2 linked regions of the Stegostoma tigrinum genome follow. The protein of the gene in region 2 purifies or fractionates together with the protein of the main gene of each other region. This does not show direct contact. Links are inferred from orthologs where the notes say so. Each region holds a gene or a part of one and is shown on either strand. Other genes may lie near its edges. The genes, in order: drosha and probable ATP-dependent RNA helicase DDX17.

Evidence for each region.
Region 1: the proteins of probable ATP-dependent RNA helicase DDX17 (region 2) and drosha purify together in Homo sapiens (co-immunoprecipitation; 3 studies listed by IntAct, with this or other methods). This does not show direct contact. The link is inferred for Stegostoma tigrinum from reciprocal best matches to the Homo sapiens genes DDX17 and DROSHA.

The regions. Positions count from the first base shown.
Region 1 is NC_081355.1:5,189,032-5,205,850, forward strand, and holds the start of drosha (ribonuclease 3), read right to left. Parts: upstream 6,171-16,819; 5' UTR 6,065-6,170; intron 6,058-6,064; exon of another isoform or gene 1-6,057. Other genes in the region: c2h5orf22 (UPF0489 protein C5orf22 homolog), read left to right, coding at 6,715-6,786, 8,609-8,754, 9,518-9,667, 11,635-12,124, 13,120-13,182, 13,805-13,926. UniProt on the Homo sapiens protein: Ribonuclease III double-stranded (ds) RNA-specific endoribonuclease that is involved in the initial step of microRNA (miRNA) biogenesis.
Region 2 is NC_081391.1:817,848-834,046, forward strand, and holds the start of probable ATP-dependent RNA helicase DDX17, read right to left. Parts: upstream 8,473-16,199; 5' UTR 8,264-8,472; coding exon 8,217-8,263; intron 7,147-8,216; coding exon 6,978-7,146; intron 1-6,977. UniProt on the Homo sapiens protein: As an RNA helicase, unwinds RNA and alters RNA structures through ATP binding and hydrolysis.

The sequences.
Region 1 (16,819 bases), on a different chromosome or scaffold from region 2:
TATAATGTTAGAAAACTGAAATTATCAAGTATCAAAGAAGTATATCATCTAAATGGTGTGATGGTAGAGCTGAGGTGTAGATGGTTAAGAACATCAGAAATTGGTGCAGGAGGCAGCCATCTGGCCCCTCAACCCTGCTGCAGCATTCATTAAAATCATGGCAGCTCTTTCTGTAGACTTAGTCCAACTTACCTGCCCACTCACCATCACCCTTAATTTCTTTTCTATTCAAAAATCTCTCTATCTTTGCCTCATAAAAATTCAACAAGGTAGGCGCAACTGCTTCACTGGGCAGGGAATTCCACAGATCAGAACCCTTTGGGTGAAGAAGTTCCTCCTCAACTCAGTCCTAAATCTGCCCTATTAGTTCTAGTTTCACCCACCAGCAGAAACAACCTCCCTGTTTCTATCTTATCTATTCCCATCATAATTTTATATGTTCCTAATAAGAACTCCCCAATTCTCCTAAATTCCAATGAGTATAGTCCCAGTTTACTCAATCTCTCCTCACAAACCAACTCTCTCATCTCTGGAATTAACATAGTGAACCTCCAGAACGAGTACATCCTTTTTCAACCAATGAAACTGAATACAGTACTCCAGGTGTGGTCTACTCAGTACCCCATATAGCTGCAACATAACCTCCCTGTTTTTAAACTCCATCCCTCTAGTCATGAAGGGTAATATTCCAATTGACTTCCTAATTACCAGATGCACCTGCAAACTAACATTTTGTGATTCATACACGCGGACACCCATGTCCCACTGCACAGTAGCATGCTGCAATTTTTCACTGTTCAAATAATAGTCAATTGTGCTGTTATTCCTACCAAAATGGATGATCTCATATTTACCAACATTGTACTCCACCTGCCAAACCCTTGCCCATTCACTTAGCCTTTCGATATCCCTCCACAGACTTTGCTCGACCACACAACTTAATGTCTTCTGGGAACACTGATCCACTACACTTGGTCCCCAACTCTAAATCATCTGTGTAAATTGTCAACAGTTGAGGTCCCAACACTGATCCAAGGCTCACCACTAACCTTATTGCCAACCAAAACAAAAACACCCATTTATCCCCACTCTTTGTTTTCTGTTAGAGGATTGGTTAACTAATATATTAGCCTAGGATCTGGGTGTCCTAGTGCATGAATCTCAGAAGATTTGTCTGCAGGTAAAGCAAGCAATTCAGAAAGCTAATTGAATGCTATCATTCATCGCAAAGAGAATTTAAGATAAAATTAGAGAGAAACAAAAACAGAAATTGCTGGAAAAACTCAGCCAATCTGTGGAGAGAAGTCAAAGTTAATGTTTTGTGTGATTATAGCTTGAAGTGTTTTACTGCAGCAGCAAATAGGGTGGGTGGAGGGAGTAAAGAGTAAACAATAGGTAGAGATACAGCCCAAAGAGACAGAAGAATAGTTTGACAGACAACGAGTGGATAACGGTCAACCTAGGAGAATGATTGGCTGCTAACGGGGACTATTAGTGGCTATCAATTACATATGTATAACAGCAGACCATGTGATAACAAGTCCTGATTTGTTAAGGGTTGGGGGTATGGACATGGGAGAAGGTGCCTCAAGCCCTAAAATTGTAGAACTCAATATCACAGCCAGAAGGCCGTGCAGTTCCCGAGCAAAAAATAAGGTGATGCTCTTCCCAATTCCGCTGAGCTTCGCTGGAGCAATGCAGTAAGCCTGACGCAAAGATGTTGGCCAGGGAACAACATGGTGTGTTGAAGGAGCAGGCAACAGGTAGCTTGGTCTTTTTGTGGACATAACATAGATGTTCTGCAAAGTGGTCATCCAGTCTATGCTTTGTTTCCCCAATATAGAGAAGACCACAGTGTGAGCAGAGAATGCAGTAGATTGGACAGAGTGAAATGCAGGTAAGCTGATACTTCACCTGGAAGGTATGTTCGGGACTTTGGATGCTGAAAAGGTAGGCAGGGAAGGTGCGGGAGGGCTGCAGTGGGTGTGGCAGGAGTGAAGGAAGAGTGGGCCAGGGGGTCCCAGAGGGATTGGTCCCTGAGGAAGGCTGTCAAAGGAGGGGAGAGATGTGTGCCTGGTGGTGGGAATAGTGGATAATGGTCCGCTGGCTGTAGATGCTGGTGGGACTGAAGGTGAGGAAAAGGGGGACCTTACTGTTGAAGGGGTGGGGGCCAAAGTTTGGAAGGTGGGTTGGACATGCTGACAGCCCTGTCAACTATGACTGGAATCCTTGGTTGAGGAAGAAGATGGGTGTTTCTGACAGCTGCAATGGAAACAAGAACTGGGAGAAGGGAAGAATCTTTACAGGAAATGGGGTGTGGGGATGTACAGTCAAGTTAACCGTGGGAGTCAGTTGGTTTGTATCGGATATTAGTGGCCAGTCCATCCCCGGACAGAGAGATATTGAGGAAGGGAAGACCATAAGACATAGAAGCAGAAATTAGACCATTCAACACATCGAGTCTATCCTGCCTTAAGGGAAGGAAGAAATCAAAGATGGACCAGGTGAAGGTGACAGCGAGGTGGAAACTGGAAGCCAAAATTGGTAAACTTTCCCAATCCCAGATGAGAGAAGGAAGCAGCACCAATGATATCATCAAATATATCGGAGAAAGAGCTGTGGGTGGGGGCTGGAATGGGACTGGAACAAGGAATGTTCCATGTACCCTAGAAAGAGGCATAGCTGGGACCCATGTGGTCACCCACTGCCACGTCTTTGGCCTGAAAGGTAAGGAGGTTATATTTGAGTTAGAGAATATTGGTGAGAAGACACTGAAGTACTGTGCACAGTACTGGTCTTCTCGTTTAAGTAAAAATGTAGAGACAGTTCACAGGAGGTTTACCAAAATAATAGCCAAGTCCTTGAATATTTAAGGCCAACATGGGTCCTCACCAAGCAAAAGAGTGAAACGTTCTCAGGGGAAGGCAAGAATGTGGATTTGACAATCGATTCAGAGCAGCTGTGATCTTAATGACTGGTGGAGCAGCACTGAGGGGCTGATTAGCTGATTCTTGCTTCTAATTTATGTTAGCATGAGTTTCAATAGTACTGTCACAGCCACAGGGTGTCCCAAAACACAGTACTGCTCAATACTCTTAAAGTACTTCATTGCAGTAACATAGGAGAAACATTAGCCAATTAGTGTACAGCAACTCCTACAAACAGCAATGTGGAAAGGAACAAAATCTGTGTGCTGTGGACAAATATGGTCAAGACAACTGAAGAGAACACACTTTTTCCTCTTCGAAATATAGGCATGGAATCTCCATATCCACCCAGGCGGGCAGGTGAGACCTCTGCTTAATTGAGACTCCCGTGCAGCCACAACAGAGTGGATGCAATTTTAATCCAAGTGGCTGTATCAATGCATGGCACAGTTGCCACATCTGAAAGAGACAGCATGGGTTCTCAGACAACACTGGGCTCCACATTATAGGCAGGTTGCGATAGCACTGGAGAGGTGCAGATGAGACTTACCAAGATGTTGCATAAATTGGAGAGTTTTAGTTACGGAGGGATTGGGCAGACTGGAATTGTTTTACTTGAAGCTGCGCTCACTTAGGAGGGATATAATTAAGATGTATAAAATTGGTAGGGGCATAGACACTTGTGCACACAAATGCCAGGAATATTTTTGACTCTGAGGATTAATCCTTCAGCGATTAGATATTTTCCACACTGTCAGAGGTCTTCCAGCACAGGAAAAAGACCCTTTGGCCCATTGCATTATCATCAGTCCAAAACAATTGCTTAATTATTCCAATCCCTTTTCTGATGAAGGGTCTAGGCCCGAAATATCAGCTTCTTTGCTCCTAATATGCTGCTTAGCCTGCTGTGTTCATCCAGCCCCACACTTTGTTATCCTGTTAAGAATTCAAGCTTGTATCAACCTCAGCATTTTACTTTTCTTGGGTTCATGAAGTGTAAACAAAACTTATATTCTGAACTCCTTCCTATGGACATATACCCCATGTTTTTTTTTGGTCTATCATAACTGTGTGCTGAACCTGGCTAAGCGTCACAGTCTTAAGTCCAATCATTGAAAAACTACTGATTACTAGCAGAGAGAGGGGGAAGTCACTCATGAAACTTTCTCCTTCTTCAGGTCTAGCCTGGGCACTGAGGCCAAGAATCATTTTATCCTGGCCAGTGCCAACTAATTCAGCTCATTGTGTGTATCAAACCTTGTGCTTTGCTGCTTTATGCCACTTAATACAATTATCAAGCCTCCAACACCATCTTCCAAACCTATGACCTCGGCCACCCAGAAGGACAAGGGCAGCAGATACAGAGGAACACTTTCAACCGGAATATTCCCCATCAAGCCACACCTCATCCTGATTTGCAAATACATCACAGTTGCTTTGTTGCTGCCAGGTCAAAATCTTGGAACTCTTTCCCTCAACAGCACCCTGAGTGTCCTTACACCTTAAGGACTGACAGTGGTCTCCAAGCTGTGATAGAAAGTAGGGTTCAATAGACAACAAATGCTGGCCCAGCCAGACAATGCACATCCCAAGAACATAAAACAAGGAAAACCAAGTCAGAAAATCTTCAGAGGTGGTGAAGAAAATGTCCTTTGTCCCACATTTTCTTCCAATCACCTCTTTTTAAAAGTGGTATTTCAGAGTACCATTCAGGGCCTGTTCGTCCACATTGTCAAGGGAGGTTATACCTTCATGTCCTTAAATGATCTGTATCCAAGCAGGTTGCAATGAAATTATTTCATACAAACTCCTTTTTTAAGTTAAAGAACACAGTACAGTACAGGCCTTTTGGCCCACAATGTTGTACAAACCTGTTATCCTTCTAAGATCAATCTACCCTGCACATGCCACATTTCACTATCCTCCATGTGCCCATCCAAGAGTTGCTTAAAAGTCTCTAAAGTGGTCCACTGCCACTGCTGGCAGCACATTCAACATGCCCATCGCTCTCTGGGTAAAGAACCCTACAACTTACTCCAATCATCTTAAAATTACGCCCCCTCGTAATAGTCATTTCCGCCCTGGGAAAAAGTCTCTGACTATCCACGCTGTCTATGGCTCTCATCAGCTTGTACACTTCTCACCCTTCTTCGCTCCACTGAAAAAAGCCCTAGCTCCCTCAACCTTTCCTCATAAGACCTGCCCTGCAGTCCAGGCAGCATCCTGGTAAATCTCCTCTGCACTACTTCTAAAGCTTCCACATCCTTCCTGTAATGAGGTGACCAGAACTGAACACAATATTCCAAGTGTGGTCTAACTAGGGTTTTATAGAGCTGCAGCATAACCTCACGGTTCTTAAACTCAATTCCCCTACCAATGAAAGCGAATGCACCATACACCTTCTTTACAACCCTATCAACTTGGGTAGCAACTTTGAGGGATCTGTGGGCCCAGACCCCAAGATTCCTCTGTTCCTCCACACTGCCAAGAATCCTGCCACTGCAAGAGTGCAGCACACTTCTACTCTCAATTGAATTTAGCCTCGTGTGCGGTCTAAAATCAGCTTGCAACATTGAATACAACGGTCCAATAAGACAACATTCCCAGCTACCAACAATTACAACTTAAACAGGTTCAACGCCGACCGAATATGTTCACTACACGTCTTGCAGCAGAGGGCTGCATATCAACACAGTGGGTAACTCCAGGGGAGAGGCAATGAAACTTCAAGAGGTTTGGGGCAGAGAAGCAGGGAGAAGAAACTACACTGATGTGGCATCTTCACCGTGATGGTGTGGAAATGCGGTCCCTGTTGTAGCGTAGGGAACACACACTATTTGCGCAGAGGAAGCTCCAAGAACAAGCAATCAATGGTCACAATGCCCTGAGGAATTAAACACTGATAAAACATTTTTTTCCCTAATCATCCCACTAATTCAGCCTCCTTTTTTTGTGTATCAGTGATTGCAGTGACATCGTGTGTGTTCCTCTCCACAACGCTGCAATTCCCTCCCCTGTTACTGTTTCCACCCCACCGCATTAGCTGCACGGCGCCCCTACATCGTTAGATCAAACAGTGCAAACCCGCTCCCACTCTAAATAACCTGTTGCATTTCAGTCAATGCTGCGGGACTTACACTTCACGAGCTGCTGGCGGTGTATTTTTTCTCCCTCAGGCACAGGAAGCGGAGGAGAAAGCTGAGACGGAAACTCTCGGAAGTAGCAGACCCGATGCTCTGTCCCCATTGGCTCCTCACAGACACATGGCGGCGTCACAATGCCGGAGAGAAAAAGAAACACCCGCAACATTCCGGCGGATACATGCTCCGATCCTGGTTGCAAACACTGGGTTGGCAACAGGGAATGTTTAAGCAGCCTCTTAGAAATTGCATGTTATTTCAATATGTGTCCATGAAAACACAACTGGGGTCAACTGCAATCTTCACACAAACGGAAGCGATTTAAAGTTTAGGATTGGACTCGGATCGATGCAAAATTCAATAAATGGTCAAACACGAGCATAAAGGTCTTTGTTTTTTTTATATATATAACATAAAGGTAGCAGCATTTGCTGCTCAGCAGGTAAAGCCCTGCAGGAGATTCGATCCTGCAGCGTTAAAGCAATCTTGGGGCCTTTTTGCATTTGCTTCAGGTCGGCACGTTTCTGGTGCTGGACTCGTTTTCCTCCAATCACGTAGGTCGAGGGATGAGGTCCGACGGAGGATGTGCTTCCCCCGGAGGCTCTGAGGACTAAGGGAGAGGCAGTGAGGGGGTCCTCCCTGCAGACATGAGCGGGGTCACCTGCTGCTTGCGCCGCTACCCCCAGCTTCCCGTCTGGGTCGTGGAGGATCATCAAGATGTAAGAGCGGTCCCTCTCCACCCACCCGCCGTGTCATTCCCGGGAATTGGACCCTTACCCTGGAGATTGCCACATTTTCCCCAGGGAATTGGGCGGTTGTCCTGGGATTTGTAACGTTGCCCCTAGGGATTGCGGCCTCTTCTCAGGGTTTGGAACATTGTCCTGGAATTCCAACGTTTCCCACGAATTGGAATGTTGTTCCAGGGGTTGGAATTTTGTCTCGAGAAATGGAAAATTGCCCTGGGGATTGCGATATTAACCCAGGAATTGGGAGGTTGCCTCTGGGGTTGGACCATTGTTCCAAGAACTGGAATGTTTTCCTAGGGGGTTGCAACATTTTCCTAGGGATTGAGTGGTGGTCTGAAGAATTAGAACGTTTTTCTGGGTATTGGAATGTTGTGCTGGGGATTGGAACTTTATTTTGGGAATTAGGACACTGTCCTGGCGATTGTAACATTGTCCCCGGGATTGCAAATTATCACAGCAATAGGACTGTTTTCCAGGGGGTTGCAATGGTATCTTGGAAATTAAAGGTCGCCTGAGGACTAGAACATTGTCCTGGTGATTGTAACATTGACCTGGGATTGCAATGTTTTCTTGAATATTGCAACATTATTTGCAATGATTGGAATATTGCCCCAAGGATTGAGAGGTTGTCCTGGAAACTGGAACATTATCCCAGTACTGGAAGGTTGCGTTGAAACATGGAATGTTGCCCTTGGGATTGTAACATTATTCCTGAGATTAGAACTTTGCCCCAGGATTGTTGTCCTTGGAACTGCAACATCCCATGAATTAGAATGTTGTCCAAGTATTGTAGCATTGTCACAGTGATTGCAACATTATCCTGGGAATTGGAACATTTTCCTGGGTTTGTAAAGCCATTCACTGAACATTCCAGAGCTAGAACCCCAGGATTGTTGTTCTTCCTTTATTTTTACCTGACAACGGTCATGCAACTTGCTACTCCCAACGCTTTCTGATACTGGGCACTCCCAGGACCATGTGAGTGAGCTAAATCATTTTAATACAGAGATGTATGAAATGATGATTGCTGAGAGGAAAAGCATGACAGATTCTAGTAACATGAGTTTTGATATAGACAGCCCAGTGTGTATGTGTGTAAGCATGAGAGTCTGTGGGAGGAGTTCCTCAGTCTTGAAGTAACCATACTTATCCTGGGTCTGCTTTCAACCATACTCAGTGTATTATAGTTTCAGTCTCAGGTTAATGTAACATGTTATCTTCTTTCTAATGCAATAAATTACTACTTTTTACCCAAGTTAAGTGTTTTTTGTGCCAAAGAAGATTTACTGGTTAATCCTTCACCATTTAGTACTAATAAGCATGTAGACTAGGATTATCAGAAGGGTTGGAATGGTCTTTTTATGCAGTGGTAGTGATCCTATCTCTGGAACAGATGGCCCAAGATCAGGACCCAATGCCTTGAATTAAAAATACAACAAGGATTGGTGGCACCATCTCCACCTGAGATTTTCAGACGTCTTTAATGTGAAGATTGAACAATGTTTTACACTCCACCTGCCCCAGCCCCACCCACCAACACCACCACAACTGTTCGTCAAAAAGACAACTTTGAGAGGAGCTTTGATAGAAATGTTAGTATTCATGAGGGGGCCTTGACAAAGAAATTGGTTGAATGTTCCTGTTGGTGGAAGGGGGGTAAATGTGTTGTTTAGCCATGACTGTGACTCTGGGTGATTCTTGATTGAAGTTTCAGAATTTAACAATGTTAATTTCACCTCACCCTCTTCCTGTTTAAGCTTTCTTCGGGACATTCTCTCTGTTCTTGTCTTTTCAGGTGGTACCATTCATCTATCGAGCAATTGGTTCAAAGCATTTGCCAATTGAAAATATAGCCCTGGTTCACCTGGACTCACACCCAGACCTTCTAATCCCAATTGACATGTTAGCTGATAGTGTGTTTGATAAAGAGCTGCTTTTTGGGTAACGTGACTTGGCTTTTATTGCATTTAAATGCTGAATAATCTGTGTCTCTGTCCTTGTTGAAATAACTATAAATAATCTCTCCTTTACAAATTATAACCTGTTAGGTAAATAGATACAGTTACTGTTCAGTGGGTTGGGAGAATGAGTAATTAATTATCGCAGTTGAAGAGCAATTGATGTTCCAAAGGTGATGGCATCACAATATAATCACTGGACCTGTAATTCAGAGCCCGAAGTAACGCTCTGGGGATGTGGGTCGGAAACTTAACAAGCAGCTGTCTTGAACCATTGGCAATCCATTTGCTGTAGGTAGATCCACGTTGTAAATACAGAGGGAGATGCAAGATTTTGATCCAGCAACACTGAAGGAATGATGACATTGTTCCAAATCAGGATGGTACGTGGCTTTGTGGGGAACTTGCATGTGATCGTGTTCCAATGCACCTATTGCCCTTCAATGTTGTAAAGGTCATAGTTTTGGAAGGTGCTGTCGGAAGGAGGCTGGACGAGACACTGAAGTAGATGGTGACTTGCTTTCAAGTCTTGGGAATGACAATATTTAAATCTGGGAAACACTCTCCAATCAGGGAGATTTTTCAGTTGTGGGACTTGACAATAATTTAGCAAGAATGAAGCACCTTGTGATGCCATTATCTAGTTCAATGGAAGCAAATGTTCTGTTTCTCTCACTTCAGTTTCTTATTTGTCCTTAGAAAAGTGATCAGAATTTTTTTTTCTCCCCGCTCTGCCCTAAATATAGAGACCTGAGCATTGAGAACTGGATCATGCCTGTTGTTTACGCTGGCCACTTCTCTGACGTCTTTTGGCTTCACCCTCTGTGGGCCCAGCAGATCACCGATGGGAAACACTGCTTCTTTGTTGGTAGAGATTCTTCAACTAAAACCATCAGGTATTGCAGCTGTTTACTGTGACAGGAATATCGGGAAGTTATGCTTCAACTGGACCGGCCAGTGGTGAAACCACTTTTGGAACATTGTGTACAGCTCTGGACTTCTTATTCAAAGAAGGACAGAAATGCATTGAAAAACAGGTCAGAGAAGGTTTACTAGATTAATGCCTAAAATGTGCTCATCAGGAAATCTTTAAAATGTACTTGAATGATCACTTGAAATGTCATAGCACTAAAGTCTAAGGGCCAAGCGCTGGAACATGGAATTAGTGTAAATTTAGCATAGGTTTGTTTTGGTGCAGATTCAATGGGCCACAGGGCCTCTTGTGAACTGTGAGATTCAGTGACAGGTAGGCCAGGCTATGCCTGCATCCACTGGTGTTTTGAAGACTTAAGAGGCAACTTGCCTGAAAACTGAAGGCCCTGAGGCACCTTGACAGAATCTGGAATACGAGGTTGCTGTTCAAAAACGAAGGGGTCATGATTTAAGATACAGGTTAAGAGTAATATTTTCTCAGAGCGTTGAATGCGGTGTTTGTCTTGAGAACTGAGTGTGCTATTGATTACAGTTAGTGTCTTGCCTGCTGTTCTACAAAATGATAAACAGATCGCAGATGTACATTCTCAATTCCCCACATGATGGGAGCTGGTGGCCTAGTGGTAATGTTATTGGAACAGTAGGCCTAGACTAATGATTGGGGGTGAGGGGGCATGGATTCAAATCCGATCATGGAAAATGGTTGGATTTGAATTCAGTTTTTTTTTTAAATTAATTTACGGGAAGTTGGCATCACTAGCTAGCTCAGTATTTAATGCAATTTCCTAATTGTTTAGAGGGCAGTTAAGGGTCAACCACATTGCAGTAGGTTTGGAATCACATAGGCCAGATCAGATAAATTCTTTTTGCTCTCAATGGATGTGAGTGTTGCTGGCCAGGCCGACAATTTATTGCCCATCCCTAGTTGCCCTTGAGAATATGGTGACAAGGTCCCTCCTTGAACCATTGCAGTCCGCATGCAGTATGTAGACCCACAATGCCATTAGGGAGGGATTCCAAGATTTTATCCCAGTGACAGTGAAAGAACGGCAATATTATATTTCCAAATAAGGATGGCAGTTTCCTTCCCAAAAGAACCAGATGGGTTTTCCAACAATCAACAATGGTTTCATGGTCATCGTTGACTCTTAATTCCAGATTTCTAGTGAATTCAAATTCCACCATCTGTTATGGTATGACACGAACACGGGTCCCTGGATTAATAGTCTAGCAAGAATGCCAGTAGGTCATTGCACCCCCTAATATTCATAAAGAAGCTGGAATAAAGGCTAGTCTCAATATTCATGATGCTGGAACTATCATCGATTGTCATAAAAACCCATCTGACTCGGTAATGTCCATTTAGGGAGGGCAACCTGCTCTCCTTACCTGGTCTGAGACACATGTGACTCCAGACCCACAGCAATTGGCTTTAACTGCCCTCTGAAATGGCCAAACAAACCACTCAGTTAAAGGCTGGTTGGGGATGGTAAACAGATGATGGCCTTGCCGGTGAAAGAATAAAGAATCAAAACTAGTGATTCCCAATTTTGTGAGCAGTCTGTAAAAGGAAGCTTTTGCACATCTCCGCTTTCTCCCTGTTGCCATTTCCAGGGATGACAGATACTGGACTGAAACAGCAACAGCAAGTTACACTTGTATTGTGTCCCAGGGCTTTGCAGGAGTGAAGGCATCAAACCATGGGAGCTAGTAAACCAGGCCATGAAAAATCTGGTCAAAGGAGTGGTTCTAGGAGGAAACAGAGAGAGAGGTGTAAGGAAGGATATCCAGAGGATGTGTAAATCTAATCATTTTTGAGCTGCCAGCTCCAGTTTGTCTTCTCCAAAATACATGCATTTGTGACACATATGTTTTATTTGAATGTGCAAAGATTATTTCATTCTGATTTTTTTTTGTGTTTTCGTATCAGGGTTACAAGTGCTGAGAGCTACTTTCTGAGTGATGGATTGTACGTGTCGGAGAGTTTGCTGGAGAACAGGAAGCAGTTAGGGTTACAGGTCATCCCGATAGACCCAGGTGAGCAGAGCAGAGATGACTGTGAGGAACCAGAGGAAATTGGAGCATCTGCCTGCAAAATACCAAAAATGGAACATTTCACCAGTGGAGAAGGTGTTCCCGGGCCTATGTGTGCCTCGGCCCCCAAAGAGAACAATCAGCTGTCTGAGGACAGATCTAATGGTGACAACATTTGTCCAGTTTCACACTCCACAGCTGAGAGAGACATACAGGAGACCATTCCACCCCACACAGCACCGACAAGCCCTCAGACTGTCCAACAGCCGGAGAAGGAAATCGTGAAGGATCTTCTTCATGTCTTGGACAAAAGAGATGCTTTCATCCTGGATATTGATTTGGATTTCTTTTCAGTTAAAAATCCATTTAAAGAAATGTACACCGAGGTGCTTTTTCTTAATTCTAGCTTTAAGGACAAAAGGTTTCTGAACTTTACCTGTATGTTTACTAGTAGAGTTTTGTTGGTCTGTTTTGCGTACCTATGATCTTCTCACATCTTGTGTGTGTGGCTTCACTTTGTTGTTGGGGTAACGTATATGGACAGGGAAAAGAAACCATTGGATTAGCTTGTGAATGTGAACTCTTAAGGGAAACAAGCAGGTAATTGTTCTGAAGGAGAGTCGTATTCAATGCAAGATATTGCCTGGTCCCTAATTGCACAGAGGGCAGTCTAGGAAAGGATGGCAGATGGCCTTAATTAAAGGGCATTGGTAACCAGAGGGAGCTTTACAACAATTAACCGTGGTTATGTGTTGCCACTAAGTTAGCTTTTAGCTCGAGATTTATTTTTTAATTTCACTGGCTGCCACTCTGAGATTTGAACCTGTTTGCACAGCACGTCAGCCTGGGGCTTGGGATTATTAATCCAATTACATTCTTACTATGACCACCCGTCTTTTTACTGGCTCCTGCACTTTAAGGCGTTTAGGGTGAATGATGTTGAAGTGAGCCCCTCCTGCCCACTCAGGTGGTTGTGACATATCCTGGGAGGATCACTGGTACTTTCCTTGGTGTCCTGCCCAGTATTTATTATTCACCCAGTATCACTCAAGCTAATGATCTGAATGTTATTACGTTACTGTTTGTGAGAGTTTGCTGTGTGCAAGCTGGCTGCTGAATTTCCCACAGTACAGCAGTGAAGACCCTACACCGACTGTAAAATAGGTTCAGCCTGTCCTGTGCTGATGAAAGGTGCTATCAAAATGCAAGGTTTTTCTTTACAAAAGCTAAAAGAGGGATGCATAGAAAGATTTGTTATTAGGATTGTTTTCAACCTAAATACTGCAGCAAGACAGGGGATGTTAAATGAGAACAAGCATCATTTCATGCTTAAGCTGTTGACAGTGTATTTATTCATAATCACTTTCATCTTGTCCCTCAGGAAGAATATGAAATTCTCAAGCAGTTGTATAGTTTTAACAAACCTGATCAGGAAGACTCTGAGGTAGGTGAAGATCAAATATAGTTGCTTTTAGCGCAACATGAGGCTATGTTAATTTTGAAGAAACAAAAATGTTTTCTTGCAGGTTTTTCAACTGTTGAGATTTGCTGTTTATGATTTTTTTGAAAGAATATGCTTGCCAATTCAGTGTGTTTATATCCTGTGACTGTATCAGACAGAGACAGAATCTCTGCTATTTTCTCTCGATGGAAATGAGGATAGTATTAATCACTACTGTAACTATGGACCAGCAACTTTGTTACAATTTTGCTCGGGAGCAGTAACCTTTTTTCTAAAAGCAGACTAATTCCTGGGGTGTAAAAGTTACCACAGTCCTGTTGAACAGAGATGACTGATGGTGGTTTAACCTGAGGGCCACAACACCTCTGCTGAAAAATGGTCTACTCCTGCTCCAACAGTGAAACATCTCAACATGAAAAGTGTACTTCCCATTTAAAATGTGATGGATTTAACAGAATAATTTCTTTTGAGAGCAAAGCATGGGACGTATCAGAAGGTATAGGAGTTGGTACGTTTTTGAAAGCAAGGAAGTTCTGATGTTAGCAACGTTGATTTAAAGACAATTGTTAAAAACAAATCTGAAAACTATATCTTGTCCCCCCAGGAGGCGTTGATCGATTGTGTGGAAGCTCGTACAAGACAGCTAGAAGATATGGAAGCTGCATTTGCAGATCTGTGTGAAGATGACAGTGAAGAAAGCATACAAAAATGGGCAGCAATACCTGGGTAAATGAAATAACTTTGCAATAAAGCAGCAACATTTTTCTTGACAGGGGGATTATTCAGTTGCTGGAAATCTGAAACAAAGGCAAAAATTGCTGGAGAAACTCAACAGGTCTGGCAGCATCTGTGGAGAGAGAAAGCAGAGTTAATGTTTTGGATCCAGTGCCCCTTCAGAATTATTAATAGGTAGGTGAAGGTGATATCTACACTGAAAAAAGTAGAAGGAAAGGGGTAGGGTGGGAAGTGGGAGTGAAGACAGAGCCTATAGAGGAAGATGGTTAGGCTGACAAAGGGATGGATAAAGGTAAGCCAGGAAGAAACAAAAGCTGTTAATGGGAACTTAAATAGGTGAAAATGGGTTGGCTGAATTATTAAGCGACAACACAGTGTAGAGCTGGAGGAACACAGCAGGCCAGGCAGCATCCGAGGAGCAGTAAAGTTGTCGTTTTGGGTTGGAACCCTTCTTCAGAAATTCTACGCTGTGTTGTCTCTGACTCCAGCATCTGCAGTTCTTGCTATCTCTGGCTGAATTATTCAGTTGAAATTGATTGGATAGCTTGTTTTTCTTGTTTCATTCACTTCTGCACATCACATCTTTCTCTCACCCCTCCTGTTCCTGTGGCTTGTGCCCAATTGTTAATACGTGACTTGCCTTTTAGCTGCTTGGACCAGTTCCTAAACCACCTGATGGCTCCCAAAGGTATCTCCTGGAGGGATCTCCACCTAACATGGTCAGACGGTGGAGTAGTGGTATTGTCATGGGGTTAGCAATCCGACGATCCAAACTCGTGTTCTGGGGGCACTAGTTCAAATCCTGCCGCGGCGACTAGTGGAATTTAAATTAAATCAGTCTCTATAGTAGTGAAACCACGGTCAACTTTCATAAAAACCCACCTGATTCAGTAATATTGTTTGGGGGAAGAAAATCAGCGGTTTTTACCTAATTTGGTCTACATATGACTCCAAGTGTGCAGCGATGTGATTGACTCTTAATTGCTATTTCAAAGGGCAGTTAGGATTGGTTACAGCACCCACATCACATTCACAAGTAACAAAATGTCTTCAGTGTTGTGAGCAGAACTGCCCCCTGAATACAGATTAAATGTGCCGCTGTTTGAAACATTTCCCTTCGAATTAGAGACAGACCATTCAGACCAATTAATCCATGCTGGAATACTGGGTTCCACACAAATCCTCTCCCATTCCATTAGCTTCATCTCAGCTGTTCAGCTTCTGTTTCTTTCTATTACTTTATTGCTCATGTACTTTCCTTTCAAAAGTATCTAAATTATTTGTGGTTGCACAGCAGTTCAGTGGTTAGCACTGCTGCTTCACAGCGCTAAGAACCTGGGTTCAGTCCCACCCTTGGGTGACTTACTGTATGGGGTTTGCACATTCTTTTCATGTCTGTGTGGGTTTCCTCTAAGTGCTCTGGTTCCCTCGAGCAACCCAAAGATGTGAAGGTTTGGTGGATTGGCCATACTAAATGGACCATAGTATCCAGGGATGTGAAGACGAAGTGGATTTGTCATGGGGAATGCAGGGTTACAGGAATATGATGGGGTAGTTGGGGGTTGGGGAGGAGGTCTGGGTCAGATGCTGTTATGAGGTTCAGTGCTGACTTGGGGCAAAAGGTCTGTTTTCACACTGTAAGGATTTTGTAATTTGCTATTGTCATTCCAGATATAGCAGGATCCATACCTTCTGACTGAAGGTATTTCTCCTTCAGACCACATTTGTACTTTTGTGAGCATTTTGGGCCCCATATCTAAGGATGGATGTGCTGGCATTAAAGGGAGGTTCTAGATGAAGTTTACCCGAATGATCCCAGGGATGAAGGGCTTGTCATATGAGGAGCAGCTGAGGACACAGTGCCTGTACTTTATGGAGTTTGGGAGGATTGGGGTCGGTGGAGGTTGGGGGGTGCGGTTTCTCATTTGAAACTTATAGAATACCGAGAGGCCTGGATAGGGTCAATGTGGAGAAGACGTTTCCACTGGTAGGAAAGAATAGGACATGAGAGCACAGCCTCAGAGTGAAGGGATGACTCATTAGGACTGAGATGAGGTGGAATTTTCTGGCGAGAGGGTGGTAAATTTGTGGAACTGCTTGCTGCAGAAGGCTGTGGAGGCCAAGTCATTGATTGTAATTAAAACAGATCTTTTTTCATTTGTTAATGGGATGAGGACATCGCTGGCCAGGCAGCATTTATTGCCCAAGCCTAATTGCTCAGAGGGCACCTGAGAGTCAACCACATTGCTGTGGGTCTGGAGTCACATGTAGACCAATCCAGGTAAAGATGGCAGTTTCCTTCCCTGAAGGACATTAGATAGTTTAGGTTGAATTAGATTTATTGTCACGTATTTTGGAATACAGTGAAAAGTGCAAAGAGACATCACTCTCTGGCACCACCTTGGATTTCTGAATAAATAGTAAGAATCAAAGCAATAGATTTGGAATTTGGTCGGTTTTGTCCATCTGATGAGGTCTGGTCAAGAGCTCAGCTCTGTCTCACCGACTTAGCCGCCGTCTCTTTGGACCTCGCTCCTGATGGTGCAGATTAACCATGCCCTGGAGCTGGTCTCTTGCGCTGCTCGTGTGGCAACGTCCAAGCTGAGTGCTACTCTGGGCTCTACCATGCCTCGGAACTGGGCTTCTCTGGATTCAGAAACATATCAACCGTTGTTGAACGGTGAAGCAGATTCATTAGGCTAAAAGGCCTAATTCTGCGTCTATATTTTATGATCTTCAAGTCCAGTAGAACATAGAACAGTACAGCACAATACAGGCCCTTCGGCCCACGATGTTATGCTGAGCTTTTACCCTAATCCCAAGGCCTGTCTAACCTCCACCCCTACCTTATACTATCATCCACACGCCTCTCTAATAGCCGCTT
Region 2 (16,199 bases):
AATGCTGAGGTTACTTCGAAGGTTTCTTGCTTCTAGAGAAAAAGACCCCAAGCTGGGGAATAAATTACAATTCTTGTTTACTGCTTTACTGAGCCAAGACGTTAAGACCATAAGACAATAAGATATAGGAGTGGAAGTAAGGCCATTCGGCCCATCGGGTCCATTTAATCATATCTGATGGGCATTTCATCTCCACTTCCCTGCACTCTCCCTGTAGCCCTTGATTCCTTGCGGGATCAAGAATTTATTAATCTCTGCCTTGAAGACATTTAATGTCCCGGCCTCCACTGCACTCCATGGCAATGAATTCCACAGACCCACCACTCTCTGGCTGAAGAAATGTCTCCTCATTTCCGTTTTAAATTTACCCCCTCTAATTCTAAGGCTGTGCCCACGGGTCCTAGTCTCCCCGCCTAAAGGAAACAACTTCCCAGCATCCACCTTTTCTAAACCATGTTAATTTCAATGATTTATTTAAATCCATCACAACACTTCTTTCCTCTTCTACCTCACTGAATTCCTCAGTTAGTTAGATTAGACTAGATTAGTCTAGACTCCCTGCAGAGTGGAAACAGGCCCTTCGGCCCAAAAAGTCCACACCGTCCCTTGGAGCATCTCACCCAGGCCCATCCCCATACAACGCACACACCCCTGAAGGCCATGGGCAATTTAGCATGGCTGATCCACCTAGCCTGCACATCTTTGGACTGTGGGAAGAAACCAGAGCACCCGGAGGAAACCCGCGGAGAATGTGCAAACTCTACGCAGTTACCCAAGGCTGGAATTGAACCTGGGTCCCTGGCGCTGAGAGGCTGCAGTGCTAACCACTGAGCCACCGTGCCGCCCATAACATTTACCCCTTTCAATTCCTCATTTTCAAAGATAAAGGTGATGCTTCTTTTATCCAATAGATTTCATCACATCAAATGGGCATTTAATTTCATTTTACACTAACCGTTCTATTCAAACGGATCTATAATTTTCTGGTACATGCCACATAGTTTAAAGGATGTCATCCAAAACTGTGATCTGTTACAATGCTGTATCTTCCTCTGCTGAAAATGGCTAGAATGCCCCAAACAACAACTACCTCACTTCAAAAGGGTGCATCTCACGTGGCATAAATATGAATGCTGTTGGGTCTTAAAAAAGGAAAAAAAGGGTAGGTTGTTCAATAAATCATGCCAGCTCTGGTATACAATAGGACTACAGCTGATCCAACATTCTTTATGTCTACTTTCCTGTCCTTCCTTGGAATCTGTTTCAGCCTTGTTTATATACACAAGTACTCTGTTCCCACAGTTCAAAAGATTTATAATTTGCAAAAAATGCCGAGGTTACTTCAAAGGTTCCAGAACCTGCAACCTCAGGAGAAATTCCTCCTCGTCCCAGTCTTAAACTGACACCCCTTTGTTCTGAAACTATTGAAATGAAACATCCTCTTAGTATCTACTGTATCTAGCCCCTTAAGAATCCTATGTTTGAAATGCGATCAGCTCTCAATCTAAATTCCAAGCAGTCGAGTCCCAACTTGTTTAACCTTTGCTCATAAGACAATCCATCCATGCCAGTGATCATCCTAGTGAACTTTCTCTGCACAGCCTCCAATGAAATAAGATCTTTCCTTAAATAAGGGGACCCTGATCTCAGCAGCACCTTGGAGAGTTGCAGAAAGAGTTGATTTGATTTGATTTACTATTGTCATACATACCAAGATACAGTGAAAAGTATTGTTTTAAATGCCATCCAGACAAATCATACCTTACACAAGTATGTCAGGGTAATGGAACAGAATGCAGAATATAGTGCTACAGCTACAAAGAAGGTTCAGAGAAAGATCAATTCTACTGAGAGATCTCTAAGCTTACATTCCAAATCTCATGAAATAAGTCATTCCATTAGCCTTCCTGATTACTTCTTGTACCTACTCGCTAGCTTTGTGTTTTGTGGACAAGTACCACCAAGTATGTTGCAGTGTTCTGCAGTTTTTCTCTAATTTAGCTAATACAGTTCTTTCTTGCTCCCCTCCAAAAGGCACAGCAGAGGGGTCTTGAAGTTCATGTCCCCAGTTCCCTGAAAGCTGCCACCCAGGCAGATGGAATTATTAAGAAGGTGTATGATATATTAGCTTAAATTAACAGAGGGACTGAGTTCAAGAGCCATGAAGTTATGCTCCAGCTATACAAAAGCCTGGTTCGGCCACATCTGGAGTATTGTGTCCCGTTCTGGTCACCTCGTTGCGAGAAAGATGCGGAAGCGTCGGAAAAGGTGTAGAGGAGATTTGCCAGGATGTTGTATCAGCGATAAGGGGAACTGCAGATGCAGATGCTCTCTGAAGGGTCTAGGCCCGAAACGGCAGCTTTTGTGCTCCTGAGATGCTGCTGGGCCTGCTGTGTTCATCCAGCCTCACATTTCATTATCTTTGCCAGGATGTTGCCTGGAGTGGGGGTGGTGTGGAGGAGAAGAGAGAGGAGGTCTTACAAGGAAAGGTTGAGGCACCTACGACTTTTCTCTTTACAAGGATAAGAGGCGATTCGATAGAGATGTACAAAATGATCAGTGGTATAGGTAGAGTGGACAGCCAGAGACGTTTTCCTCGGGTGAATATAGCTATTACGAGGGGGCATAGTTTTAACGTGTGCCGAGGTAGATACAGGGGAGACATCAGAGGTAGATTCTTTACTCAGAGTGGTCAGGGCGTGGAATGCATTGCCAGAGAGGGTAGTGGAGTTGGCCTCATTAAGGGCATTTAAGAGGCTATTAGATAGGCATATGGATGATACTATAAGGTAGAGGTGGAGGTTAGATGGACCTTAGGATTAGGGTAAAAGTTTGACATAACATCGTGGGCCAAAGGCCCAGTACTGCTCTATGTTCTATCTGCAAATTTGGCCACAGTACATCTGCTTTCTTACTCAATGTCATCAACATATTGTAAACAGTTGCCACCCCAGCACAGATCTCATGCAGCCCTTCCAGTTTGCTCCACCATTCTATCAAGTCATGGTGATTTGAAACCTAACTGCCTATTTGTTCCATGTCCCTTAATCCTTTCAACTGAAAAGGTCAAGTGTAGTTCGAGTATCAATTATCATTTGCAGAAGTTTGAAACTTCTCTCAGATTTTGGGTAGAAGCATTTCCCATTTTCTCATGCATCCACACCTAACTTCATATAATACTCCTAGTCCTAGACTCCCTATTGAGCAGAAATAGCTGCTTTAGATTGTAAAGATTGCACCTTTTTAAGTGGACCAATCTAAGAAAAACTTTTCAAAACCTCAACTGTTGCATATTTGAAAAGCAAGTAATTTAACACTCAGGTTAAGCGTCATTTAAAGAGCTGCTTGAACAAGCAGCAATTTAAGATTAGGCTGCAGATAGAATCATAGAAATGTGCAGCATGGAAACAGGTCCTTCAGTCCAACTTATCCATGGTGACCAGGTAACTTAAATTAATCTATTCCCATCTGCCAGCATTTGGTCCATATCCTTCTAAACCGTTCCTATTCATGTACCCATCCAGATGCCTTTTAAATGCTGCCATTGTACTAACCTCCATCTCCGCCTCTGGCAGCTCAATCCTGCCCCTCAGATCCTTTCTAAATCTTTCCCCGCTCACCTTAAATCTATGATCTCTAGTTTTAGACTCTCCTGCCCTGGGGAAAAGACCTTGGCTACTCATCTATTCATGCCCCTCATGATTTTATAAGCCTCCAATGTTCCACAGAAAAGAGCTCCAGCCTATTGTGCCTCTCCCCTATTGCTCAAGCCCTTAAACTGTGGCAGCATCCTTGTAAATCCTTTCATACTTCACAACATTTTTCCTATAGCAGGGAAATCAGAATTGAACACAATATTCCAAAAGTGGCCTAACTAATATTCTGTATAGCCAGAACATGCCCTCCCAACTCCTATACTCAATGCACTTACCGAACGCCTTCTTCACTGCCCTGTCTATCTGTGACTTCACTTTCTGAAACTATGAACCTGCACCCCAAGATCTCTTTTCTTGGCAATACTTCCTAGGACCTTACCACTAAGTATAAGCCCTGCCCAATTTGCCTTAACAGAATGCAACACTTCACATTTATCTAAATTAAACTCCACCTGTCACACCTCAGTCCATGTGCCCTTCTGATTGTGATCCCATTGTAATTGGTGATCATTTTTTTTGCTGTCTACTATACCAATTTTGGTGTCATCTGCAAACTTACTAACCATTCCTCCTATATTCACATCCAAATCATTCATATAAATGACAATAAACTACAGACCTAGCTCACTGCTGGTCACAGGCCTCCAGTTTGAAAAGCAATCCTCCATCATGGACAAGCATATGGACGTACATGGAATAGTGTAGATTGGATGGGCTTCAGATCGGTATGATAGGTCGGCACAACATCGAGGGCTGAAGGGCCTGTACTGTGCTGTAATGTTCTACGTTCACAGTAATCACCACCCTCTGTCTCCTACTTTCGAACTAATTTTGTAACCAAATGACTAGTTCTCCCCGTGTTCCTCGTGACCTAACCTTGCCATCCAGCCTACCAGGCAGGACCTTGTCAAACGCCTTACTGAGGTCCATACAGACAACATCCACTGGTATGCCTTTATCAATCATCTTCACTTTTTCAAAAAACTGAAATCATGTCAGTGAGACATGATTTCCCCATGCATAAAGCCATGTTGATTTTGATGAACTGAATCTAAGAAGTTCCGTATTTAACATTGGTTAACAGCAAGAAATTAACTGGTCTATAGACTAATGATCAGTGACTGATGACAAAGGCATTTCATTTGCTAGCAACTGTGTGATTGGCTCTTCGATAACCGAGTAACTTGAGGCTGTGCACAACAACCAGAGAAGTGATCAGATCTCCAACAGCTCAGGAGCTGTTTCTGTTCTCTGTAGTCAAAACCTAATTTAAATCCAAAGAAATCTATTTTATCTTCCATTCAATAGTTGCTGCAATTGGAAGGTCAGGGACCTCGAATAAATGAAATCAGTCATCCTGCACCTCTTGCAAACCAGAAGGAATTGGAAAAGGTCACAGAAACCTTCTGACCAGCAAGAACCAATTCAACAGATCTTGTGAACAAAGACTGCTAAACTGCTTTCCCTTTACTCCCTCAGTCCATGCTCCACCTTTCCTAACCCCACATACGTGTGCGTGTGTGAGAGTGTGTACGTAAGTGGAAGTTTAAGGGGATTACATGCTGTCGCAACTCATTGGGTAATATGCTGAAAATTAAGTCCTGCTTTTCCTGGAGTTGTCAGCAATGTTGAATATTTCAAAAAGTAGGCAAAATTCCCACTTTATTTGATTTTCAGTCCGAGGTTGGTAGAAAGCACAAAACAGATTTCTGTGCTTAAGAATTTCTATTTATTGCAAGTAATTATATTGTAGTTTCAGGTAAGCTGTCTAATTATGCCTTTTAAATTAAAATAGGTGTTATTTTGGTAAATCTTGTCTCTGCATTCTTGAAGTCTAAGATAACCTTCCCACAATGGTTCCAGGAACTATCAATTGCACTTGGTTGCTGTGTAAGCACACTTTTGTATAGTTGAACTGCCACTTTAACCCATATATTATATAGTCAGAAAAGTCAACAGTCCGTCAGCTTCTCTTGATCTGTTCAGGAAATCTAATGATCTGGACCCCGTTGCTTCTAGCTTTCCAATCCAGAGAAAGTCACCCATTTTAGTATTTTAGGACCTGATTGAATTACTATACGTTTGATTACATTTAATTTTATTCATCAGTTTTCTCTATTCAATTAATTTTTTTTATCATGCTTTGTGATATTACCTACACTGTTCACAATGACACCTCTCTTTTGCATCATTGGCAAAATCTGGGTATGTGACTTTCTGCCCCATCATGAGTCATTATTATTGATGGTGAATAGCTGAAGCTGCAAAACCACCTACAAAATATCATTAATCCTGCTCATTATCCCTACTCTCGTTTTTTGCTGCTTAATCCATTTCCTAACATGGTCAATAATTCTCTTCTATTTCATTAGCTGCAACTTCAGTTAACAATTTCTTTTGACGATCTTTGATGAAATGTCTTCAGTCCACATAAAAAAAATCCATATGCAACGACATTCTTTCCTTTACTTTAATCACCTCTTCAAAAATTCAACTCACCTACACCACATGCCAGTAGAAACCAGAGCACACATTATAAAAATTAATAGGTTTCAGGATACTGATGATATCAAACAGAAAAATACGGCAGAGAGAGAACTGAGCAGAAACGATCTGTTTGAATGGTAGAGCAGGCTTAATCGGAACACAGGTAGGTGATTCGACCTATATTCATTAGTCATGACTGACTGTTCACCTGTGGGGTTATTTGATCAGCTAAAAGCTTTGAAGTTGTATATTGTTTTTAAAAAAAAACTCCTGCAATTTTCCCCAACAGATGTTAGGCTAACTGGTCCAGAATTTTCTGGCTTTCTTCTCAGCTTTAAATCGCCATAATTTTTTCAATTTAGAAGGAAGGTTCTGATACAAGAGAGTTGTAAAACGTCACAGTTAAGGCCATGCAGTATCGTCAATTAAACAAAATTTGAAAACCACTGGTCTTGGGATTTGTCATTCCTTTCGACCATTACTTTCTTCAAGACTGCTATTTTGCTAAGTTTATTTTCATAACAGCAATTCAATACTTGCAATTTCCAGCACAATGATATTTTCCTTTAATTTCCTAATTGACAATTGTGATATTGGCAGTGACAGTTTAGACAATAGACAATAGGAAGGGTCACATGATAACCACATTAGGGGAATGAGAAGCAAAGTTAGATACAAAGATAGTTATTTTATGAGGAATTGACTCAAAATTAAATCAACAGTTGATATTTCATATCGCAGGATTACAGCAAAATTCTAATATCAAATTAAGTTAGTTACATCTCAGTTAACAACTCACTCAACTTTTGCAACTAGATCCATTCAGATACCCACCGGGCTTAGTCGAACCACTTCAGGGTGCTCCACATAGAAGTTCTTCTCAAATTTTGGCAACTCCTCCAGGTCCCACTTCTTCTTCCTCAAGCGTTCTCCAGGCTGTCCAAATTTCTTCCCAAGTGATGGGCCCCCACGGCTAGGCCCTCCACCAAACCGTGGGCCATTACTAGTGAGAGGAGGTTGAGTCTTAGTCAGAAATAGGTACAACTACAACCCAGCCAGCAATCCACAAATGAAGCCCACATCAGATGTTACATGTGAATTTTATTATTAGTACAGCTAGTAAGTACTATAGGCTACCCTGAGTAAGAAGATTGGAACCATTAAAAAAAAACATTGCCAAGGTGTGAAATTATGAGAGGGGCTTAAACAGGTAAGTGATATAGGGAGGACTGGAGGAATTAGGTCACGGTTGAGTCATCGTGTCATCCAGGGAGGGCGACTCTACGCCTGCGACAGTAAAATGGCTGAACCAAAGACAAGCCAGTAATGGAGAAACACAGCACGGCTGCTCAGACTAGGCCTCGCTGAACGGCTCATTGACGTACGTTACCGGGCGAGAAGGCGAGGTCGGGCTAGAGTCACATTGATTGGGTCAAACACCTGTCAAGCAAGACCCAAACGGGACAGACGGACACCAAAAAGATCCAATCAAATTTAGAGAAAACAGTCCCCGACCAATAAGAGTGCAGTGCCAACGGAAGGCGGGACCACTAGCTAAGCCGGACCCCCTCCATCTTCCCGCAAGAACTCCGGAACCCTCCTTTCGGCCGGCTGACAGAGACCCACATTCATCATCCCATCCTCGCCAGCACACAGGCCGCGAAGCATCGCACCTACATCTCGACCGGGAGGTACATCTCCTGAGTCATCCCACTAATTCCTGGGCATCAAAGTCCACGACCTTTCAGATCCCTTTAACGGCACACACAAGCCCAGATTCCCTGCACCCCGATCAACGGGGGGCGGACAGGGACCCAGAACACAACCACCCTCAACCCCCGGGGTCACTCAAATACCGGACCCCGTCAAACGACTACGCGCAAATGCTTCCTCGCCAGAGATCACGGGTGGCAAAGTCAGCAGCCACGATTCGCCGCCTGGCCTAGGCGGGGCAACAGACCTAGAAACCAGGCCTGGTGGAAGTGCGAGGCCTCTTCCTTGCCAAACCCGCTCCTTGCAAATTGCTTCTTTTGACCCGGAGTGGTAAGTGTGCGGTCCTGTTCAGCCTCCTACCTTCCTCGGTCTCTACCGCGGTCACGGTCTCCACCGAATCCTCTCATTTTCGCTCGATTCTCGGCGTCGGGGAACAAAGAAAAGCCGCAGTTCCTGCGATAGGTTCAGCAGCAACTTGCCGGAAGAGCCGACCCTCCCGCTGGATTCTCGGTTGGGAACAGCCCCCTCCCGCCGGATCCTGAACAGGAACAGCCGTACTCCGCGCCGAAACCCGAAACAGCTGTCCTTCTCCCTCCCGCCGGACCCCAGTCGGGAACACCCCTTTTCCTCCGGACCCCTGTCGAGAACAGCCGCTCTTCCTCCTCCCGCCGGACCCCTGTCGCGAACAGCCGCGCTTCCTCCTCCCGCCGGATTAAAGTCTACCTAGCAACAGAAACGTCACATCCTTGTCTGTTCGAGCATTCAAAGGACGGCCTGCGAAATAAGGCTTGTTTATCAAAACCTACTGTTAATTGCCCAGTTCTGACTTCATGTAGTTTTAGTTTAGGAAACTGTTGCGTGTATGTTAAACACCACCTTTTCCAAAGGCATTAGGAAGCGATGTCAACAGCTAAGTACTGGAAGGTTAACACAAAGGTGTTTTATTGTAAGGGGAATGGAATATAGGAAGTTTCCAGGGCGTTGGTGCGACCGCATTTGGACTATTGTATACTCTACCTATGAAAGATGATACTGGAAGTAGTTTATCCGAAGTTTACCCAGTTTGATTTCTGGAAGGAACAAAAACAAAGTTGCTGGAAAAGCTCAGCAGATTTGACAGCATCTTTGAATGAAATAAAAGAGATAACGTTTCGGGGCCGGTGACCCTTCCTCAGAACTTGATTTCTGGATGAAGGGGCTATTTCATGCGGAAAGTGTGCGTCTAAATCGATTGCAGTTCAGAAGGAGATAACGCGGTGTGAAGCTGAATGAACGCATCGGAGCAACAGGAAAGCTTGACGTTTCGCGTCCCGACTCTTCAGAAAAAGGGTCCCGACCCGAAACGTCAAGCTTTGCTGTTCCTCTGATGCTGCTTGGCCTGCTGTGTTCATCCAGCTTCACACCGTGTTATCTCAGATTCTCCAGCATCGGCAGTTCGTACTATCTCTGTGGCAGTTCAGAAGGATTTTGATTGGGTGAATGGAAAGAATCCTTCCCTCAGGAAGACTGGAATTAGGAAATACAGTGTAAAATTAAACTGTCCTATATGGGAACAGTGATCTCCCAGGACTGGAAATCCATGGAACTCTATTCCAACGAGATGGATTTATAAAATAATATAAACATATTGAAAATTCTTAAAATGCAGGTCGATTGACTCCCTTGTCAGGAATAACACTTCACTTGACCAAGGAACAGCACTCCAAAAGCTCGTGATTTCATATAAACCTGTTGGATGATAACCTGGGTGTAGTTTGACTTCTGACTTTGCCCGCCCCAGTCCAACACTGTCACCTCCACATCAATAATTTAAGGGTAAGGGGACAGGAAAGTATGCTATGCTGAGGCCACAGTCAGATCAACCAAGATTTTATGGAATGATAGAAAGGTTTGACAGTTCAAATGCCCGACTCCTGTACCTAATTTGTATGTTGGTATTGAAATCGTGGAGCCAGCATTTCCAAAATTTGCTGATTTCCACTTGTAACCAGGATGACAGCCTGAGTTTAAATCAGATCCAGAATTAGATTCAAAGGCCCCAATAGTAAGGGGTGTGAGGGGGCTGCAGAAAAGACACTATCGAGTCATACTGCACGGAAACAGACACTTTGGTCTAGTCCCACTTGCCTTCGCTCGGGCCATATCCCTCTAAACTTTTCCTATTCATGTACCTATCCAAATCTCTTTTAAATGTTGTAATTGTATCTGCCTCTACTACTTCATCTGTCAGTTCATTTCATATGCGAACCATTCTGTGAAAAAGTTGTATTTCAGATCCCGTTTAAATTTTTCTCTTGCCCACCTTAAAAATATGCTGGCCAGTTTTGAACTCCTCACAATTGGGGAAGGACCTTGTTATTCACCTTGTCTATGCTCCTTATGATTTTATAAACCTTTATGAGGTCACCCCTCAACGTCCTACATTCCAGTGAAAAAAGTACCAGCCATCCAACTTATCCTTACGACTCAAACCCTCCAGTGCCGACAATATCCTGGTAAACCTTTTTGAATCCTCTCTAATTTAATGATATCCTTCCTACCACAGGCCAACCAGAACCTTATAGAGTACTCCAAAAGTGGCTTCTCCAATGTCTTGTAGCACCTTAACATGACATCCCAACTCCTGTACTGGTCACTGCAATGAAGGCAAGTATGCTAAATGCCTTCTTAACCATCCTGTCTGTGACTTTCAAAGAACCATGTACCTGAACCAAGGGAGCCTCTCAGCACCAGGGACCTGGGTTCAATTCCACCTTCAGGCGACTGTGTGGAGTTCACACATTCTCCCTTGTCTGCATGGGTTTCCTCTGGGTGCTCCAGTTTTCCTCCCACAGTCCAAAGATGTTCAGGCTAGGTGGATTGGCCATGCTAAATAGCCCACAGTGTTCAGGGATGTGCAGATTAGGTGGGTTATGGGGAATGGGTCTGGGTGGGATGCTCTGAGGGTTGCTGTGGACTTGATGGGCTGAAGGGCCTGTTTCCACACTGTAGGGATTCTATGATGATCTATGAACCCCATGGTCTCTGTTCAAAAACACTATCTGTGAACCTATCATTCACTGTATAAGTCATGCCCTTGTTTGTTTTACCAAAATGCAAAACCTTGCACTTATCCAAATTAAAACTCCATCTGCCACTTCGCACTCCACTGGCCCAATTGATCAAGATTCCTTCAGAATCTTCAATAACCTTCTTCACTCAACTGCACCACCAATTTTGGTGTCATCTGCGAACTTACTAATCATGCCTCATAAATTCTCATCTAAATCATTAATATAAGTAAGAAACAAAAGGTGGACCCAGCACCAATCCCTCTGGAATGCTGTTGGTGAAAACAAACCTCTGCTACCACCTTCCGTGTCCTACCATTAAGCAAATTTTGCATCCAATTGGCAAGTTCTCCCTGAATCCCATGTGATTTAATTTATTCATCATTCTACCATGTGGCACCATTTTAAAGGCTATACTGAAGTCTATGTAGACAGCATCTACCACTCTGCCTTCATCAGTCCTTTTGGTTACATCCTCAAGAAACTGAATCATATTTGTGAGACATGATTTCCCTACACAAAGACATGTTGGCTATCCCTAATCAGTCCTTGCTGCTCCAAATGCATGCAAATTCTTTCCCTCCAACAACTGATGCCATCGATTGACAGGTCTATAGTTTCCTGGTTTTCCAGCCTTTCTTATTTCAGAGCACAACATCAGCCACCCTCCAATCCTCTGGCAACTCGCCCGTGGCTGTAGATGACACACATATCTTTGCCAGCGGCCTGCAATTTCTTCCCTAACTTCCCATAACATCCTCGGATTGACTTGATCAAGTTGTGGAGATTTATCCACCTTTATGTTTTTCTAAGACCTCCAGCAGTTCCTCATCTGTAATGTAGACTGTTCACGAGACATCAATATTTATTTTGCTGAGTTTCCATTTCTTTCTCCACTGTAAAAACTGATGCAAAATATTCATTTAGTATCTCTCCAATCTCCTATGGTTCCACATATATATGACCTTGATTTGTATTTTCTCCCTAGAGGCTCTTTTGCTCTTCATGTACCTGTAGAATCTCTTTGAATTATCCTTAAGCTTATCTGTCAAGACAATCTCATATTCCCAAATGCCCTCCTGACTTCCCTCTTAAGAATGCCCCCACACTTTTTATTCTCTTCAGGAGATTCACTTGTTGTCTTTACTTAATACATGACTCCTGACAAAAATGAAGAAACTAAACTGTTAGGAAATATCAAAGCTTATGACTGAAAGGCACTCCATGGTTTTTTTTTAGATAGATTTCACCAAGCCTGTTAATGTAGTGCCATGTAGGAGATTGTTCCATAGGAAGTAAAACGTAGAACATTGATAGCCTGGCTGTAGCAGTGGTTGGAGTTGTCAGAGTGCTGGATAGTCACTGCTGAAATTCCCCAAAAATCAGCACTTTGTCATCCACATTGTTCCACTTTCAAATTGCTATTTTTGGACACTTTTTGTCTGTATATCAATGACTACATGGAGTTAGATTACATTGTGAGATATCAAGAACAAGTTGATCAGATCGTGGTGTCCAGTTGAGAAGAGCAAATAATCATCAATTTTGTCAACTACAATGAACAGGCAAAAAGGGAATAAATGTTGAAATGATAATTAAATGATGTTGGTCTACAAGGGGGCTAGGGTGTGTGAAATATAGAACATAGAACATCGAACAATACAGCGCAGAACAGGCCCTTCGGCCCTCGATGTTGCGCCAACCTGTGAACTAAATATGAGAAATTAACTTGTTTTTAATGATTTTGGTTCAAACCATACAACATAGAAATCCAAAAGTATCACTTCACTGTTCTTGTCAGTATATTCCACATGATTACCTATTTCACCAGTCTGTCATTCTTTATTAAAGTCTGATAATAATAAAACAGAATTACGTATGCTGGAAATCTGAAACAAAAAGTGCTGGAGAATCTCAGCAGCTCTGGCAGTATCTGTGGAGAGCGAAAAAAAACAGAGCTAACGTTTAAAGTCCTGCAACTTTTCTTAAAATTCTGAAGGAGGATCACAGCGGTAAAAATGTTTAACTTTGCTTTCTCTCCACATTTGCTGCCAAACCTACTGAGTTCTCCTGAATTTCTTTTCTGTTTGTTTCCGCTACTATCCTACTCACTGCTTTCTATGGTTCTTAGATTTCTGTCACCTGCAATCTAAAATCATTGCCCCAATAGCCAAGCCCAATTACGACTGGAGCAGCAGAGATTTAGGGATTCACATACTGAAATCATAGGTACAAAATAATAATTTGAAAGGTTAATAAAATGTCAGCCTCCATACAATAAAGTAGAAGGTATATTAACAAATGTACAGAGCTCTGGACAAATTCCTTTTGCAATACTGTATTTGGACCTCAGGAAGAGTGTCAGCTGTGAAAGGACATAGTACAAATTGATCAGGATAATTAAACTGAAGGCAGCTCACCTTTTCAAAGCCAACAAGGAATGGCAATAAATACTGAGCCACTCCATTTTTGCAGCAGCAGCAGGAGTGGTGAGAGCAAGGACCAGGAGGCCGCTGGGAAGGTAAGCTGTTCATTTCAGCAGCGGAGCTGGGTGGGAGCAGTCGAATTGCGCTCCCACCCAGTGAGTGAACTGATATATTTGGGCAGTGGCTAAACCTGAGACACTACACGTGTAGTGTCTCCCACATGCCCTCCTCCTCTAACCAAAAAAAACCAGTGCGGTGTGTTGATAAGGTAAGGTTTTCCTTTTTCTTTTTTTTATCATGTGCTGGTAAGTAGAGTGATTGGTAAAATTTTTTTCATTTCATTTATCTATTATTTGATATTATGGTAGGTCTAAGCTAAGCTTAAAAGTTGAAATGGCAGGAGATCCCAGACTCATGTTAAGCTTCACTTGCTCTATGTGGGAGCTCAGGGACATGGTTGATGTCTGACTTCTACACGTGCAGCGAGTGTGTCAAGCTGCAGCTCCTGTTAGACCGCATGATGGCTCTGGAGCTGCGAATGGACTCACTTTGGAGCATCCGCGATGCTGAGGAAGTCATGGATACCACGTTTAGCAAATTGATCACACTGCAGATCAGGATTGCTGAGGGAGAAAGGGAATGGGTGACCAAAAGGCAGAGAAAAACATGGAAGGCAGTCCAAGCGTCCCCTGCGGTAGTCTCCCTCCAAAACAGGTATACCCTTTTGGAGATAACAAAGTGTGGAGCTGGATGAACACAGCAGGCCAAGCAGCATCTTAGGAGCTCAAAAGCTGACGTTTCGGGCCTAGACACTTCATCAGAAAGGGTCTAGGCCCGAAATGTCATCTTTTATGCTCCTAAGATGCTGCTTGGCCTGTTGTGTTCATCCAGCTCCACACTTTGTTATCTCGGATTCTCCAGCATCTGCAGTTCCCATTATCTCTGATACCATTTTGGATACTGTTGGGGGAGATGGCTCACCAGGAGAAGGCAGCAGTAGCCAGGTTCTGGCACTGGGGCTGGCTCTGCTGTACAGAAGGGTGGGAAAAAGAGTGGAAGGGCTATAGTCATAGGGGATTCGATTGTAAAGGGAGTAGACAGGCAGTTCTGTTGTCGAAAATGAGACTCTCGAATGGTATGTTGCCTTCCAGGTGCACGGGTCAGGGATGTCTCAGATGGACTGCAGGACATTCTGAAGGGCGAAGTTGTACTGCCAGCTGTCGTGGTGCACATAGGCACCAATGATATAAGTAATAAATGGGATAAACAGAAATTAGGGAGTTTGGAGCTAAGTTAAAAAGTAGGACCTCAGAAATAGTAATGTCAGGATTGCTACCAGTGCCACGTGCTAGTCAGAGTAGAAATAAAAGAATAGGCAGGATAAATGAGTGGCTTGAGAGATGGTGCAGGAGGGAGGGGTTCAGATTTTTCGAACATAGGGATCGGTTCTGGGGGAGGTGGGACTATTACAAATTGGACAGTCTATACCTGGGCAAGAATGGAACCAATATCCTAGGGGGTGCTTTTGCTAACACTGTTGGAGAAGGTTTAAACTAATGTGGTAGGGGGATGGGAACCAAATGAGGAGGTTAGTGGACAGTAAAGAGGTAGTAACTAAAGCCTGTAAGGAACTAGATGATTAAGTAGGTGTGACTAAGGGGAACAGTAGGCAGAGAGCAGATGATGAACACAAAGGGACAGATGGTCTGAGGTGCATTTGTTTTAATGTGAGAAGTGTAGTACATAAGGCAGATGAATTTAGGGCTTGGATTAATACCTGGGAGTATGATGCTATTGCTACTACTGAGACTTCATTGAGGGAAGGGCAAGATTGGCAACTAAATATCCCAGGATATAAATGCTTCAGGTGCGATAGACGGGGAGTTAAAAGGGGTGGAGAAGTTGCATTACTGGTCAAAGAGGATATCATAGCTATGCTAAAGGAGGGAACTGGAGGAGTCGAGCAGTGAGGGAATATGGGCAGAGCTCAGAAATAGGAAAGGTGCAATAACGATGTTGGGGCTTTACTACAGGCCCCCCAACAGCGAGCGTGAGATAGAGGAACAAATATGTAGAGAGATTATGGAAAGATGTAGGAGCAACAGGGTGGTGGTGATGCGAGATTTTAATTTTCCCAACATTGACTGGGATTCACTTAGTATTAGGGGTTTAGACAGAGTAGAATTTGTAAGGAGCATCCAGCAGGGTTTTATAGAGCAGTATTTAAGTAGTCCAACTCAGGAAGGGGCCAGACTGGACCTGGGGAATGAACTTGACCAGGCGGTTGAAGTTTCATAGAACATAGAACAATACAGCGCAGAACAGGCCCTTCAGCCCTCGATGTTGCGCTGACCTGTGAACTAATCTAAGCCCATCCCCCTACACAATCCCATCATCATCCATATGCTTATCCAAGGACTGTTTAAATGCCCCTAATGTGGCTGAGTTAACTACATTGGCAGGTAGGGCATTCCACGCCCTTACCACTCTGAGTAAAGAACCTGCCTCTGACATCTGTCTAAAATCTATCACCCCTCAATTTGCAGCTATGCCCTCTCATACAAGCCAATGTCATCATCCTAGGAAAAAGACACTCACTGTCCACCCTATCTAATCCTCTGATCATCTTGTATGTCTCTATTAAATCCCCTCTTAGCCTTCTTCTCTCCAATAAGAACAGGCCCAAGTCCCTCAACCTGTCCTCACAAGACCTTCGCTCCAGACCAGGCAACATCCTGGTAAATCTCCTCTGCACCTTTTCCGATGCTTCGACATCCTTCCTGTAATGAGGTGACCAGAACTGTACGCAAGTGAGGCTGCACTAGCGTTTTGTACAGTTGCAGCATGACATTACAGCTTCGGAACTC